Struthio camelus: one gene and its partner. The protein of the gene in region 1 purifies or fractionates together with the protein of each later gene. This does not show direct contact. Links are inferred from orthologs where the notes say so. Each region holds a gene or a part of one and is shown in the gene's direction. Other genes may lie near its edges.

The links.
Region 2: the proteins of PLD1 (region 1) and ARF1 purify together in Homo sapiens (affinity purification with western blotting; 3 studies listed by BioGRID, with this or other methods). This does not show direct contact. The link is inferred for Struthio camelus from reciprocal best matches to the Homo sapiens genes PLD1 and ARF1.

The regions. Positions count from the first base shown.
Region 1 is NC_090950.1:27,440,170-27,448,060, forward strand, and holds the start of PLD1 (phospholipase D1), read left to right. Parts: upstream 1-4,853; 5' UTR 4,854-5,240; intron 5,241-6,632; exon of another isoform or gene 6,633-6,756; intron 6,757-7,891. UniProt on the Homo sapiens protein: Function as phospholipase selective for phosphatidylcholine. Implicated as a critical step in numerous cellular pathways, including signal transduction, membrane trafficking, and the regulation of mitosis.
Region 2 is NC_090943.1:3,582,092-3,589,945, forward strand, and holds the start of ARF1 (ADP-ribosylation factor 1), read left to right. Parts: upstream 1-4,761; 5' UTR 4,762-4,999; exon of another isoform or gene 5,000-5,549; intron 5,550-7,854. UniProt on the Homo sapiens protein: Small GTPase involved in protein trafficking between different compartments. Modulates vesicle budding and uncoating within the Golgi complex. In its GTP-bound form, triggers the recruitment of coatomer proteins to the Golgi membrane.

The DNA.
Region 1 (7,891 bases):
ACATTTTCCCCTATTGAAAGAGGACTTGATGGATTAGCCAGGTAAATAGGCGTTGCTGTACACGTAGGTAAATACTGTTCTGCTCGGTTAATTGAATATGAGCCTCAGATAAACCCATGTGCTCGGTTTATTTCCTTGAAAAAGACATCCAGGTGAAGATGATGTATTCTGTGTTGTAGACTTGGGTACCTTTTCTGCTGAGCACATTGCAATTTCTAATACTCCAGTCTTCCCAGATTTGTGGAGAGAATTAAAGATAAAGGAGGACAAGAGTCCACCACTGGAAGAGCAGTTCTGGGGGCTGTGAAGCTGACACGTTGGTGAGTCAAAATAGAAATGATTGCATGCACTCTGTAGGGTTGTTGTGCAGAAGATTTTGATTTTCTTCAACTATTTTTTCATTTGTCCTTCCTTTTTCAGTTTTCATCCTCAGGCAGAGCCTGTTTTTATGTCTTCTTTACTTCGACTATGCAAAATGACTGAGACTCTAAAAAAAATAGGAATACAGACTTTTTCTACTGTTTTTAATGGGCTGCCCAAGCAAATTGGAAGCAGAGTAGTGGAGAACTGGGACTGATGTCAGTTCTGTGTTTGATTTAAATTCTGGAAAGACAGTACACAGCATTTCTTGTAGCCGTTTTGCATGTGTGCTTGACAAAGAGTAAAATAGCTTCTTGTCGAGACTTGCTTTATGCTTCCTCATAGATTTTCGGTTTAACTGACAGAAAAATAAAAACCTTTCCAATGTGTCTTCTGGGGGGGGGGGGCGGGGGGAGGTTGAATCTGCTTTTGCCTGTGTTTTTCTTCCTTCCATTTGCTCGGAGGCCCTCAGTTTCCAAGCCCAGGGTGGTTGCGCTGCGTGGGTATGCGTGGTGTGTCAGCTCCTTCTCCTGGAAACTTTCTGGTCAAAGGGAAACAGAATTAACTCAGAGCCATTGCGTGCGTCTTTGCTGGATGGCATTCCTTCTGTCTCCCCTTCAAAGCTTTTTGGCTTGTTCTGGCAGGAAAAGGGGCTCCTGGTGCTGCGTAAGCCTATGGGGCTTTTCAGCTCATACCTTCTGCGGTTCATTTAACCCCACCTTTTTCCTCTTGTGATCACTCTTACGTGTCATTAAGAAGTGCTGCTCTGGATCTCTCTTAGAAGGCCTCTTTTCTCCTCATGTCGTAACCATGTTTGTGGGTGACCAGCGAGATGGTGTGTTCCTGCTGCATCACCCCGAGACCAAACGGTCACAGTAAGGGGCTAGAACTCCCCAGGGCGTCATACCATGCTGTGGGTATTACTGTGCGCTTCTGTATTACAGCAGTGTCTTAGTAATACAGGCCTGAGCCAGGGCCATGGTGCATGTGGGTATACATCTGAAATTGGCTTGTGCCCCACCTGCCCATTTTCAGTGGCTGAAATCATTCTGATGGCAGCTGATATTTTAATTTCGTTAAGTACCAAGTTGTAATTGCTGTTTTTGTACTTGGTTGCTCTATTCACCTGAAGAGAGACAGGTGAAAACTAAGCGGGTTGAGGCTGCGTACATGCAGAAGTGACAATTTGCAGATGTGGTGTCACGGACAAAGTCAGCGTGACAGCCTGAGGTTTCCTTAGTCCAAGAAGACTGCTAACCAAACCCTACCTCTCTGCTTGCCTAGGGCCTGTGGTTGCTAGCTACTGTCCTAGCACAGAGGGTGTCTATTCAAAGCCACAGGAAAAAGACCCGTTTTAAGTAGCTACAGAACTAGGTTTCAGCAACAAAATTGGCTCAGAAATGTGCTGTGAAATAGAGCTCAGCAGTATCAGCTAGACTGGGCTGGGTTTGGAGTTTATTTATGGGGGCTGGCCACGCTGCCACCAGGATAGCACCGTCCTTGCTGTTAAGCCTTATGGCTCAAGCACGGGAAGGTTTGGGGACTGCGCTTGTAGGAAGTGCTTGCCAAGTGTGGTGCAGTAAGGAGCAAAGTCTGAAAGCTGCCTCCAGCTTAGCACGCTGTCCTCTCCTCTGGAGCACTGAATAAACTCTTTGGAGTGAGTCATCCCGTGGATTTACATGAAATCAGAAACTGAGGCCGTTGGGGAAACACTGACAGAACAAAAGTCACGGCAACGTACTGAATTTCTGTCCCCCAAAAGATGCAGGGGAAGAAGATTTTCATACATATTAGGACAGTCGTTAGATTCTAACAGGAAAACTTTGAAAATTGCAACAGGGCAAGACAAAAAGGAAAACAAAATAAAAACAGCTGCATTACTAGTCGCTGTGGGAAGAAGCGCGTGTCTCAGTAGTATTGTGTGTGAATTTGTAGCATTTAAGATCAGAAACAACAACTGTCTTGTCTGCAGGCAACAATCTTGTCTGACTGCCTCTCTACCAGATGGGGTTGCAGTTTGTCCAGATATTTGTAGGTTTTTAAGCACGAAAGCCAGAATGAACTATTATGATCAGCTGGTCTGACATGCTGTGTATGAGAAGCTGTAGGGTTTATATTCTCCTTGAACAAGGGTAGCCTTTGGGAAGACAAAAACCCAGTCTTTAATACAGGTATTTTTATTATGAGGATTCTACTTCACCTTCTGGTGAATTGTTTCACTGGACGGATCTATTGCAGATGTCTATTCTGACATTCAGGTCCTGTCATAACAACACTCTGAGAGGACTCAGGTGACGTCCAAGAAAACATCTCCAGTTCACAAGAATAACTCTCCAATAGTATGAGCCAAGGAACCAGCAAAGTAGCATGTTGCAAAAGTGTGCAAAAAAGGCTGATTCATGTGATAATTAAAAGTTAAAGTGATGGGCTAATTGGGAGCACTTTTTAATAGTGGGAGTGAAAGATGCTAGAGTTTAAATGAAAACATTCAGAGACACTGAACTAATCCTGCCTGTAGCTATAGGCATATGTAAGCCCGAAAGGGAGTTTTTACGCAGATCCAGAGCATAACTGGAAAGGATGCAGCGAGCACCAAGTAAAATGGGAACACAGAAGAATACAGAGAAAAATACACTAATTTTTCAAAAAATAAATACATCTATACAAAGAGAAGATGTGTGTGCTACAGAGAGAGATATTTTGGAGTGCTTTGTGTATGTGGGATCATACGTAGTGAGAACACCAAATAAAAGAAAATGGGCTTTCCTAGAGCTAATAGGGAGGAGAAACTCTAAAGAAACAGTATATATCACTGTGAAAGAAGCAAACAGTGGCTCAGAGGATAAGATTCTTGCATATATTTAATTAAAATAGAGGAAAAAGAGAAATTAAGGAAGGCAACGTGAGCAATGTGGACTCTGTGGATACACCGGGTCACTGAGGATTTCCCAGCACTATGCTGACAAAAGATCACAGAATCACAGAATCACAGAATCGTTTAGGTTGGAAGGGACCTCTGGAGATCATCTAGTCCAACCTCCCTGCTCAAGCAGGGTCCTCTAGAGCATATTGCCCAGGATCACATCCAGACGGGTTTTCAATATCTCCAGGGAAGGAGACTCCACAACCTCCCTGGGCAACCTGTTCCAATGCTCTGTCACCCTCACAGTGAAGAAGTTTTTTCTCAGGTTTAGGTGGAACTTCCCGTGGTTCAGTTTCTGCCCGTTGCCTCTTGTCCCGTTGCTGGGCACCACGGAGAAGAGGCTGGCCTCATCCTCTTGACACTCCCCCTTCAGATACTTGTACACATTGATGAGATCGCCTCTCAATCTTCTCTTCTCCAGGCTGAACAGGCCCAGCTCTTGCAGTCTTTCTTCATAGGAGAGGGGCTCCAGTCCTCTAATCATCTTTGTAGCCCTCCACTGGACTCTCTCCAGGAGTGCCATGTCTCTCTTGTACTGGGGAGCCCAGAACTGGACACAGTACTCCAGGTGAGGCCTCACCAGGGCTGAGTAGAGGGGCAGGATCACCTCCCTCGACCTGCTGGCAACACTCTGCTTAATGCACCCCAGGAGACCATTGGCCTTCTTGGCCACAAGGGCACACTGCTGGCTCATGCTTAACTTGTTGTCCACCAGCACTCCCAGGTCCTTCTCGGCAGAGCTACTTTCCAGCAGGTCAACCCCCAGCCTGGACTGGTGCAGGGGGTTATTCCTGCCTAGGTGCAGGACCTTGCACTTGCCTTTGTTGAACTTCAGGAGGTTCCTCTCCGCCCAGCTCTCCAGCCTGTCCAGGTCCCCCTGAATGGCAGCACAGTCTTCTGGTGTGTCAGCCTCTCCTCCCAGTTTCGTATCATCAGCAAACTTGCTGAGGGTGCACTCTGTCCCTTCCTCCAGGTCATTGATGAATATATTGAACAAGACCGGACCCAGCATATTTAAGCCAAGCAAAGCCAAGCAAAGTGCTGGGGCGCGAGGGGTAGGAGCGGTCTGACTTAGCGCAGTAAGTACTCCTCGAGCAGGGGGAAAAAAGAGCTGCAAAGCCAAGGGAAAAGAAAGCGCGGTTGCTTCCGCCCTTGGGCCTGACCAAGCGGGGTGGGAGCTGCGTCGTGGGCTCGCGCCGACCCAGATATTTAAGCCAAGCAAAGCCTATTTATAATTATACAATTAATAGCATACTCCTATCTCCCATTCAGAACCTACTTTACGAATAAGACATTGGGAACAAACAGCCAGGAATGTCAACTCAAAAATCATTGGTTTTAATTTAAGCAAGGGTACACGTGAGTCTAGAGATACAGAACATGGCACAAATGATTCACAGAGCAGGCACATGAGCAGAACAAAAATATGTCCAGAACAGATAACGAACTTGTATTAAAACTGAAAAAAAAAAAAACCCAACCATATACAGTGTTGTTAGCTGCAACCTGCCTGTCTAGCCCTGAAACGAGGAAAAGACTTGTTGCAGGGTGGCAGGCCCCTTACAGAGGCATAAAGCCCTCCTCGCCTCAGACTAATCAGTCATCGGATGAGCTGAATCGTGATAAAAAACACCAGCCAGCGGCTCATTTAGCGAGAAGGGTGCTGGCAATTTTTTGACCAAAGAGGGGAGGAAGGAGCGGGGAGTAGCAGGAAGCAAGCAGCTTGGCTCCCACGGCAGCCCTCGGCGGGAAGTAAGTCCCAAGACCAGCGCCAAAGGGAGCCAGCCGTAAGAAAGCAAGACGCCACGAGAAGATGTAGAGGCGGAAGGGCTAGTTGATACGTGGAAGCTGTTTGTTGCGAAGAAATAAAACCGGTGACCAGAGAAACAGGAACAGCAGCGCGGGCAGCGACAGCGCTGCTGGGGCGCGAGGGGTAGGAGCGGTCTGACTTAGCGCAGTAAGTACTCCTCGAGCAGGGGGAAAAAAGAGCTGCAAAGCCAAGGGAAAAGAAAGCGCGGTTGCTTCCGCCCTTGGGCCTGACCGAGCGGGGTGGGAGCTGCGTCGTGGGCTCCTGCCGAGCTGGGGAGTTTAAACGCAGCCCTGGGAGGGGCTCCCAAGCCGGCTCGCGCTGGGGAGTTAGTCTGGGTTTGAGAAACGCTAAAGCGGCGTCAGGGCTTGCCCAGCGGGGGCAGGTTCTTGCGAGAGAGGCACGCAGCTGCCCGGCGCTCGGCCTGTTTGGGATCCCGCCTGGGATCTCAGCTCTGCCGGGAGAGGCTCGGTGCCGGTGGCGGGACGCGCTGAGCAGACGCTCTGGGACGAGCGCGATAGCCGCAGCCGGCTAACGTGCTTCTGGAAGGGGAAGACGACAAATGTAGAAGGCATCAGATGAAGTTGAGACAGGCTGTAGAGCTGCATGGGGGCATCTGCTGCTCTCTGGTGGGCCTCGGCTCCCAGGGTGAGAGCATCGTGATGCCCGCAGCTGGAGACCAAATCAGCGGGTGTTTCCCCGCCTTAGGAGATGTTTGCAAGCTCCTATCAGATACATCTGAGGTGCCAGAGGAACGTGGACGCAACCCTGTTCCCGAGAGGCGTGCGGTGGCGGTGCCACGCGCCGAGGGGTGGCCACGCGGCCCGGTACCCGGCCCAGCACATGGCCCCTGCGAAGGGGCAGGGGCACAAAGCCCTCCGCTGTCAGCGGCTAAAGACTTTTCAGAACTATGTAAGGTCATCTGTTTCCTTGAGGAAACTCCTGCATCGCCAAGTAAGCTGCACAGAGGTGGTTTAAGATTTTTTTTTTTTTAAATAGATGTTATTCCCACGAGGCAGCAATAGGCCCAGGCCTCTGAAGTCCATCCTGCGCTGTGGGACAGTTATGGTGCAGGTTGACTCACAGGAACAGATTATTGACATTGTCAGAAAAAAATGCTGCATAGCGATGCCTGCCGCAGGGTCGACTCAGCCCTTTCAGCGCCCCGCTGCCGGAAGATGCCCGTTAGGAGTTTATACAAGACGTCGCTCCTCTCTCAGGGTTTTGAATGGCCGTCCTTAGTTGTTGACAAGCTCGGAGTTGGCAAAATGGACTCTTCTTTCTTTTCTGTAAGCATAATAGATATAAATGTACTATGGTAAAGAGTCAAAGGAATATAATCATTTGTTACATGAGTAGACTTGTTTAATTTTGGTCTCAGACAGCAGTGACAAAGGGATGCTGCAGTGAATGCCTCGCGGCAATAGAGATTGAATAGAGCGACGAAATTAGATCCTGTTTTGGAAAGGGGAGAGGGAGGGAGGCTTTGTGAATGAAGAGCAAATCTGAAAGGTGCTGCTTCTTGCCTCTCTTTATGCTCAGGTATCAATATGGGGAATTACGGTGGAAGCTGCAGCTGGAGAGGGCACTAGGGGTCACCACCGCCTTATCTATGTCATCTGGATTTAATTCTAAAGTAGGATAAATAACATGATAGAAGCCAAAGGTAGGCTACTCTCAATTTTTGTGGGCTAGATAGCTTGCATTTCCATTCTTCTTTTTTGCTTTTATTTTTTTTCCCTGCCTGCCTGCCTGTTCTCTGTCTCTCCCTTAAAGCAGACCATATCAATTTCTGTAGGATGCAGCCCAGGGGATGCTGTAGAAGCAGGGTCGTTGCCTCAAAATTCCCTCTGTGCAGATCCCATTTATTTAGAGCAAAGGTTAGGCAAATCGCAAACGCGAAGCAAGTCGGACAGAATCACAGCAGCCTTGGCATGTTTCTGCAAGTACTGCAGAGCAAACCGATTGCTGTAATGAATAGCACGCTTGTAGTCACTAGAATAACTCCTGATACGCACTGCTGTGCCTGGCCAATAATCCCATGTCTGTGAATTTTTCTCTTCTCCTTTTTCCCCAACTAGATAAGCAGCCCTGACTTCTCTTAAAATATCTGCTTTAAAAGGAGGATTGGGTGTCTGGGTTGTGAAGAGGACCTGAAATCCTCTTCTCTGGGACTTTTTTTGACCTCAGGTCTAGGGAGGAACCATTGGTATGGGCTGAATCTGTTGCCTGATTTTTTAAATAGTGCATTTTAAAAGTGGGATGCAAGGCGTCTAGGGAGCAAGAGGTTTCCCCCTCCTCCTCGCCCCCAAGGCAGGTGATTTGTCTAGAGGCAAATAGATAAGTTTTCAGACATACAAGACCTGAAGAAGAGGCGGCACCCCCTGGCAGCCTGTCTTTTTTTCAGCTGTACTAGTTGATCTTATGAAATACAGCTTCCTCCTTCTCCTCAGAGGTATGTTAAACGGTGGAATTTCTTGCTGCATGATGTTACAGATGATGACAGTTCATGTGACCTCAAAACCTGACTGGACGAATTAATGAACGAAATAGCTGTCAGGGGCAAAGATAACGCTTCTGGCTTGGAAAGTCCCTTATCTGCAAATTGCCAGAGACAGAGAGAGTACCAAAGAGGTTTCACCATAGCCATGCCTTGTTTATACACGCTTTGCTAAGCAGCTGTTATAAACCAGTTCTTGGGATGGCACACTGGGAGCAGATAGATGTTCAGTCTAACGTGATGTATCTACTCTTACAGTCTCCTGCATACGCTCTTAGGTCACTATAGCTATGATAAAACT
Region 2 (7,854 bases), on another chromosome or scaffold:
TTTGGCATTGCTGCACATGGGGCTAAGCCTGGCTGGGAGACCAGCCCCAGCTCGGCTCACCCCACAGGACCTTCATGGAAGGTGAGGGTTGCCCATCCAACTCAGTTGCATCAACTCAGTCTTCCTTATTTAGTTACTATTGGGCCCAAGTTGAGTTGGCCCATCAGTTCACACCTCAGAAGGGTTCCCACCACTCCCTGAAGGGCTGCATGTTCCCCATGGACAAAGAACTAACATCTAGTCCAGAAACCTGCTGTTAAAATGAGGCCTGTGACCTCCCCAAATGGTTGTGGCTCTTCCTTCCTTTGCCCCTCGAAGCCTTAGGTAACCCCATAGTAGCTCAAAATTATCCAGGTTGCAGGAGCTAATATCTTGTCCAGAAGGACACAATATCTTTGTAACAAGGAAAGGAAGCTGAGACTTTAGAGGATCCTAGGAAGACCAGACAGCTCTAAGGAGCTGACCCTACCAAATACCTTGTGCTGTGGGCAATTGCGTGGTCCTGCCATGTTTCTGATTTGGGAGACCTGGAGGCACCAGTGGGACACAGCTGGCACCACGGACAACAGTGCTCGTCCCCATCTCCATCCCATGTGGTGGTCCACAGATCTGGCCCCGCGGACGCGGCAGCTGGCGCAGGTCTCCAGCTGCAGCACGTTAGGTCTGGCACTAAAATTAAGCTGAGGATTAAACCCAAAACTGGGAAGGGCGGACGGAGAGACCATCTGCGGCATGACCCCACGCTGCTATCTGGTCTAGAGGCTCTGCTGCTCAATTCCCACCGCCGGTCCTGGACGCTGGGTGAAATAACGACACTAATGCACCCTCCTAAAAACCATCCGCTAAAACCAGGAGGCTTGGCTGCTTCCGAAGGAAGGGAAAGGAGGACAGCGGCCCTCGGTGAAGATCCCCCAGATGTACTCAGGAACGCATTGCTACCGGCGCTGCAAGCACCCGAATCCAGATTTACTCGGCGCCAGCCACGTGGAGACGTCACGGTCAGTGAATACTTCTTAGCTACCGCCAGGTGACTTTCTGGGCCAGGCCAAGCGGGTTGCGACGTGGTCTCCACCTAGCCAGAATGTGTTTTCCAACCCAGGCGCTGAGGACATGAAGGCAACTCCTCGACGGTCACCCCGGGAGGGGCCCCATTGCATGCACCATGGGAGCTCCTTCCAGAGGTGGCAGCAGCAGCGCCAAAAATTTAGCGATACCTACCTTAGGCGCAGCTCTTCACACCAGCCCTGCGCTTCGCTGAGTGACTCAGTGGAGCTATTTCCAAATTAAGGAGAAAAAAAGCGAGGCGGAGAGAGCTGAAGTAATTTCCCTGCCATCCCCAGGGAGCCGGCGTCACCGATGGAAGGGCAATTTGCTGTCTTGGCTCTCCGTGCTTCGGTCCTACATCTGAGATGCTCTCAAAAAACAGCCTTTCGGGAATTCTGGCTGCACGCGTCCCTCTGCACCCAAAGTCGGCTTTTCTCGGAGAAACCGTGGCAAAACCCAAAGCTCTGGCTGTTTGCAGGGCTGCAGGAGACGGGACCCAGCTGGCTTTCCACTCACCTCCAGCATTTTTGCTCCCACCTGGGCCTTCAGCTCCACTTCACTGATGGAGCTGGAGCAAGCTCCTGCTGCAAAATTATGATTTTGCTGCATAATTTTGCTGCAGGTAGCGTTTAGCTTGCTTTTCTCCCCAAACCCACCCGCCTTTTGCTAGCAGGATGGTAAAACATGAGCACCAGGTCTAGATCTCTTAGCCCAACAGGTGACTCCAAGACCCCGAATCCAAGCCGTAGTCGCTATTTTTTCGGTGGGAAAGGTAGCCAATAGCTGGTGGCGGGGGTGATTTTGCAGCTCCTGCCAGCAATCGCCGTCCTCACCAGCATGTGACAAGCTCGAAGGTGAGAAACCCTCGACCCAAAGCGGCCAACGGGGGCCTTAGGTGCCGCCACGGCCGAGAGCAGAGCAGTGAACGACCCTCGCCCGTGGGCACCCGCCCCAGTGTCACCCCCAAACCCCAGGCTTTGCACTTGAAGCCGCTTCTGTCCCTAAAATCCTTCGGAGCTCAAGCAAATCCAGCCTAAGGGGATTTCTTTTTCTTCTTCTTCTCTAGGGCAGGCGGGAAAGGAAAAGCGTTTCGCAAGCGAGCCTTCGCGGATATTTTTACAACCTCAGAAAATCGCCTTGGACAAACACGATTTATTTATTGTTTTATTTTTTGCAAAAGCCAGCGAGAACAGGGTGTAGCCATGCTGGAGGATTCGTCACCCGAGGCGAGGAAAACCCGTCCCGCTCCGAAAAGGCCGCGCCAGGAAAGCAGACGAGGCTGCTGCTCTGCCGCTAGCACCCGGCGGGCAAGCGGAGGTTCCTTTTTCCCCGGCGTCCCCACTCCGAAACGGGCAGAAAAAAAGAAAGGAAAGGAACAGGTCTGCTCAGCCCCGCTGCAAAAAGAGGCCTTTTTCTTCCCAGAAATGAGTCACCGGGCAAAGTCTGCATCTTGCATCATGACTCAGAGCGCCGAGGCCACATTTCTCTTTTGCCCAAACCCCTCAACGTGTTTGCAACGTTTTGGGACCTCTCCAGGCTCTTTGTGCACCTTTGGGGAGACCTAACGTATCATAGGTGCTTCCTTAAGTGAAATAATCGTCGTATTAAATCCTACCTGCTTGTACAGAGTGAGCTTTGCTGCCCCAAGGCGGCGGGGGACAAGCGCCGGCTCCGGTCCGGGTTCCCTCCTGCCATCTCTGCCACCGCTCTCGTGCGTGACCTAGTTTTTTTAGGAAAAGAGGCTTTTGAGCTCATGCCCGTCTGTCTTCCCTCATCCCTTTATAATGTTTTCAGCTGCCGGGCAATTTCAGCCACCTTTGACAGCGGGACGGAGGATTTTGAGGTATTAATTTCCTATGAGCATCGGGGGGGAAAAGGGGGGCAGAAAGAAGGAGTTTTCATTGCTTCCTGCTGCTTTCAAATTTCTGCTGCGCTTTAGAGGAGGAAGTATTTCGTGCCCAGGCCGGGGCAAGAAAGACAAAAGTGGTATTTCCGGCTCAGAGGGGAAACCGAGGCGCCCCAGGTGCCTGCGAAAGGCCAGAGCCAGCGCTTGGGACATCCCACCAGCTATCTTTTTGCCTTTTTCCTCCCTGCAGTCCTGCTTTAGTTTGGATAAAACAGCCTGTAGATTCCCCCTCGGGGATTTCAGACAGCTCACGGCCCTGCAAAGCGGGTCCTGCGTGTCGCAAGCCCGTACGCTCAATGCACTCTCCTTGCAGGGGGTTGCATCGTCGGCACGCTTTAAACCTTGTAACGTCCGTGTGCTATTCCACCATCCCGCAATGTGGTATTATTAGGCAATGCTGCATGGTGCATGCGCCCCCAAGGAGCCGGCCTCGGGGCAATGCTGCATGGTGCATGCGCCCCCAAGGAGCCGGCCTCGGGGCAATGCTGCATGGTGCATGCGCCCCCAAGGAGCCGTCCACGGGGCAATGCTGCATGCGCCCCCAAGGAGCCGGCCTCGGGGCAATGCTGCATGGTGCACGCGCCCCCAAGGAGCCGGCCTCGGGACAATGCTGCATGGTGCATGTGCCTCCAAAGAGCCGGCCTCGGGGCAATGCTACATGGTGCACGCACCCCCAAGGAGCCGGCCTCGGGGCAACGCTGCATGGTGCATGCGCCCCCAAGGAGCCGGACTCGGGGCAATGCTGCATGGTGCATGCGCCCCCAAGGAGCCGGCCTCGGGGCAACGCTGCATGGTGCATGCGTCCCCAAATAGCCGGCCTCGGGGCAATGCTGCATGGTGCATGCGCCCCCAAGGAGCCGGCCTCGGGGCAATGCTGCATGGTGCATGCATCCCCAAGGAGCCGGCCTCGGGGCAACGCTGCATGGTGCACGCGCCCCCAAGGAGCCGGCCTCGGGGCAATGCTGCATGGTGCATGCGCCCCCAAGGAGCCGGCCTCGGGGCAACGCTGCATGGTGCATGCGTCCCCAAAGAGCCGGCCTCGGGGCAATGCTGCATGGTGCATGCGCCCCCAAAGAGCCGGCCTCGGGGCAACGCTGCATGGTGCATGCGTCCCCAAATAGCCGGCCTCGGGGCAATGCTGCATGGTGCACGCGCCCCCAAGGAGCCGTCCACGGGGCAACGCTGCATGGTGCATGCGCCCCCAAGGAGCCGGCCTCGGGGCAATGCTGCATGGTGCACGCGCCCCCAAGGAGCCGGCCTCGGGGCAATGCTGCATGGTGCATGCGCCCCCAAGGAGCCGGCCTCGGGGCAATGCTGCATGGTGCATGCGCCCCCAAAGAGCCGGCCTCGGGGCAACGCTGCATGGTGCATGCGCCCCCAAGGAGCCGGCCTCGGGGCAACGCTGCATGGTGCATGCGTCCCCAAGGAGCCGTCCACGGGGCAATGCTGCATGGTGCATGCGCCCCCAAGGAGCCGGCCTCGGGGCAACGCTGCATGGTGCACGCGCCCCCAAGGAGCCGGCCTCGGGGCAACGCTGCATGGTGCATGCGTCCCCAAGGAGCCGTCCACGGGGCAATGCTGCATGGTGCATGCACGCCAGGCCCCGCGGCAGGGAGAAGGTGGGGGGAAGAGGAGGAGGAGGAGGAGGAGGAGGAGGAGGAGGAGGAGGAGGAAAAGCTCCCACGCGCACAGCCCTCGCGCCGCCCCGCGCCCGCGCTCCCACGCGCCAACCCCGCCCCACCCGCGGGGGTGGGGTGGGCAAGAGGAGAGGGAGGGGCGTGGCCTCCCGCCCGGCCCCGCCCCTTTGCAGCGCCGCCGCCGCAGGCGGAGCCCCGCCCCCTCGGCGGCCGGCCCCGCCTCCCGCTGCCCTCCTCGGTTACCCGTGGTGCCGCGCGCGGGGCTGGCACTGACGTGGCCGCCGAGCGCCGCCATCTTGTGTGCTTGGGCGGAGAGAGGCTGAGCGGCGGCAGGGGGGGAAGCCGGCTCCGAGCGGGACTGCCCGAGCACAGCCAGACCCACTGCCCGGGGCAGCAGCAGCAGCCGACGCCGGTAAGTCACCGCTGCCGCCCTCCTTTCAACCTACGGTCCTTTCTCCGAGGTCCGCGGCGGGTTGTGAGGCGCTGAGGCGGCGGCGAGGCCTTGCGGGCCCGGCCGCTTCCAGCCCCGCGCTTGGCTGGCGGCGGGAGGAGGGAGCCGCCGCCGCAGCCAGGCCGCAGTGCAGGCAGCGGGGAGCCGCCGGCCCAGCCCGGGGGGTGGAGAAGGGAGGGAAAAGGCGGAGGGGGAGGGGGTGAGGAAGGGCTGCAGCTCTGCGCCAGGCCCCGCGTCGCTCCCCCTGCCGGAGGGATTAGACGGGATGCGGCGAGATGGGCCTTCCTTCCCCGGCCGCCCCAAACTCCCTCGTTCCGGCCTGCCCCGCCCGAGAGCGGCGAGAGTTTTCCTGCGCTTCCTCCCCCCGACAAGGCTCCTGGTAGCCGAGCTCGCAGCTCCCCATGGCCTGGTAGGGTGAGGTGAGGCTCGGGCGAGACTCCGAAGAGCGGTTATTTGCTTGGTAAATCTTTAGCTGCTGAGTCGAGCTTCGTGCAGGGCTGGGAGGGTGAAGGTAAGTTGGGTTTTTTTTTTTTTTGTTTAAGCCTGGAGCAAACTCTGTTTTAGGTGCATTGCTTGGGTTTGGTGATCCTGAAGGTCAGTTTTCCTTGGCATAGCAGATCCCAATGGAAGGATATTATACTGCAGCTGAAAGTACTATGTCTTGTCTCTGTGAGCAATTAATGTGATACTTGGTGGGCCGATATCCCCTTTCTATTAGAGTGATAGGCTAGCTATGCAAACCTCTTCACGGAAAAAGCTGTTTGCCCCGATCAAACATAACTAAAACTCTCTCGGGTCATAAAGCTGCCTAAATGTTGTTTTTGACATTGACCTTGTTGCTCTGCTGCTAGGTCCCTGCCAAACCAAATTCCACCAGTTGATTAGAGTTGTATCCAGAGTCTTGTTTTGAAACGTAGTTTTGTCAATAGCTAAAATGTGAACTATTTATATAACATTTTGAACTTTGTTTTGTAAGTGATAAGTCTTGCAGCACCCCTATGAAGAATATTCTGCTAACCTTATTTTTCAGGCAGAGAAATCAAGTTGAAGTGAATTGTCCAAGGTCATTTGGCAATACATTTATAATTACTTTTACTACTAATTTGAAGAACTTTGCGGGGGGAGGGGGAGAGCCCTTTCCAGCTGAACTGAGGATTGCTTCCTGGCTTTTCTTTATGGAATTTGTAATGAAATTGTCAGTGTAAGTACTCATAGTCTTACAGCTGTAGCAAGCAAGGGATTCTCTCAAACCGAGGTTTAGGAGGCTGGTATGACACCACTTATTTCCTCTGTTAAAAACACAGGTTGTCTGCAGTGCTGAGAACCCTGTTGGACTACTTTCTCTATTGTGCTAATTATACTGGGTGAAAGGGTGAGGAAACCTACCTCACTTGAACCTCTTAAACTCTTTGTTTGCCAAGTTTACTGACCCTTCTACTGTGCCAGAGCATCAGGAGTAAAAATGGCTCAAGCAGGTGTCACTTCCAGTCTGAACAGCCCTTAATGCTCTAATAGTTTGGTGTACGTAATAATTATCGGACCATACCTTAAGAACCTGGAATAAGGTTAGAATGCAAGTGTGCGAATGCAGTGTCCCGAGTGTAAATTGGTCCTTGCTATGGGTTTGCCAAATGTTGGAGTTTGTCTGGTTGTGAAATAAAACCCAAATCTGAAAAGGGACTGGGCAAAAGCGATGCATTCTTGACCAGTGCACGCAATTCCTTGTGTGCATTAGTCATGCTTGCTCAGTGAGGGGCAGGACTAGTTACAGTTGTTTCAAGGCAAACAGAGTGGGCGGGAGGAGGTAAAGGGTTGGATTTTGGTCCTTCTTCTAACTGACCGAACTGTATTGTGCTCCAGTTTCAGCTGACTCAAAAACCTGCTTGCAGTAATAGCGTTCGTACATCTCACTGAGGCACAGTTATCACATTAGTTATTGGTTACATTAATTGATGAGAGAAGGAGAAGCTCACAATAGAGGCTTCCAGCTGAATTTGTAGGGTTGAAATCAAAGCACCTTGTTTTAAGAGCAAAAGGTCAGTTTAGAGAAACTGCTGAGATGTGCAAAGATGGCCTTTAAAGCTAGGATTCTTACAGATTTCAACAGCCTTCACGAGGCCTTTTAATATCTTGAGTTCCTTGCAGTGGATAAACTTTGTGAACATAAGTTAGTAACTTTTTCTTAACAGAAATAGTTTTGCTTTTAGCGATCTGTTGAAAGTTTTGCTACTGGAATGCGGTAGAGCTTGTGTTACACCTAGCACGGTTCTCTGCCGTCGTTCCCTTTCTTTAACTGATGAGTAAAGAAGTTTAGAACCAGCTTCCTACTACAACAGTGCTTTTTTTTCTGTGTTGCTCAGCACTTTTTTCTTTCTGCTTGCAAGTATCCAATTTTATTTCTTGTTTCTAGCCCATGCAAATATTGAAGGACTGTGGCTCTACTTTTGCTGATGTTGGGGTTCTAATAAGACTCCTAGGTGTAATGAAGCCCTTATTCATATACTGATTATCTAATACACAGTAACTAGCTAGTTGCAGGTTCTGTTTTAACACTTTCCCTAAACCAGAAAACAATTTTATTACTGAAGCTCTTGTGCAAGTTCTTCCTGTTTCTAAGAGTGTAAATGTTGGTTTACTCTCCAGTTAGTAGGAATGAATAACAGGTTATTTGGCTTAAAATTTAAGTTTTTAAAAGTTGTAAATAGTTTGGCCTCATAAACCTTACAGGGCTTGTCTGAAAACAAATGCTTTGTGGTGATCACTTCCCGTAGTAGTAAGAATATCTGCCATTTAACAGGTGCAGATGTAGCTGCAAG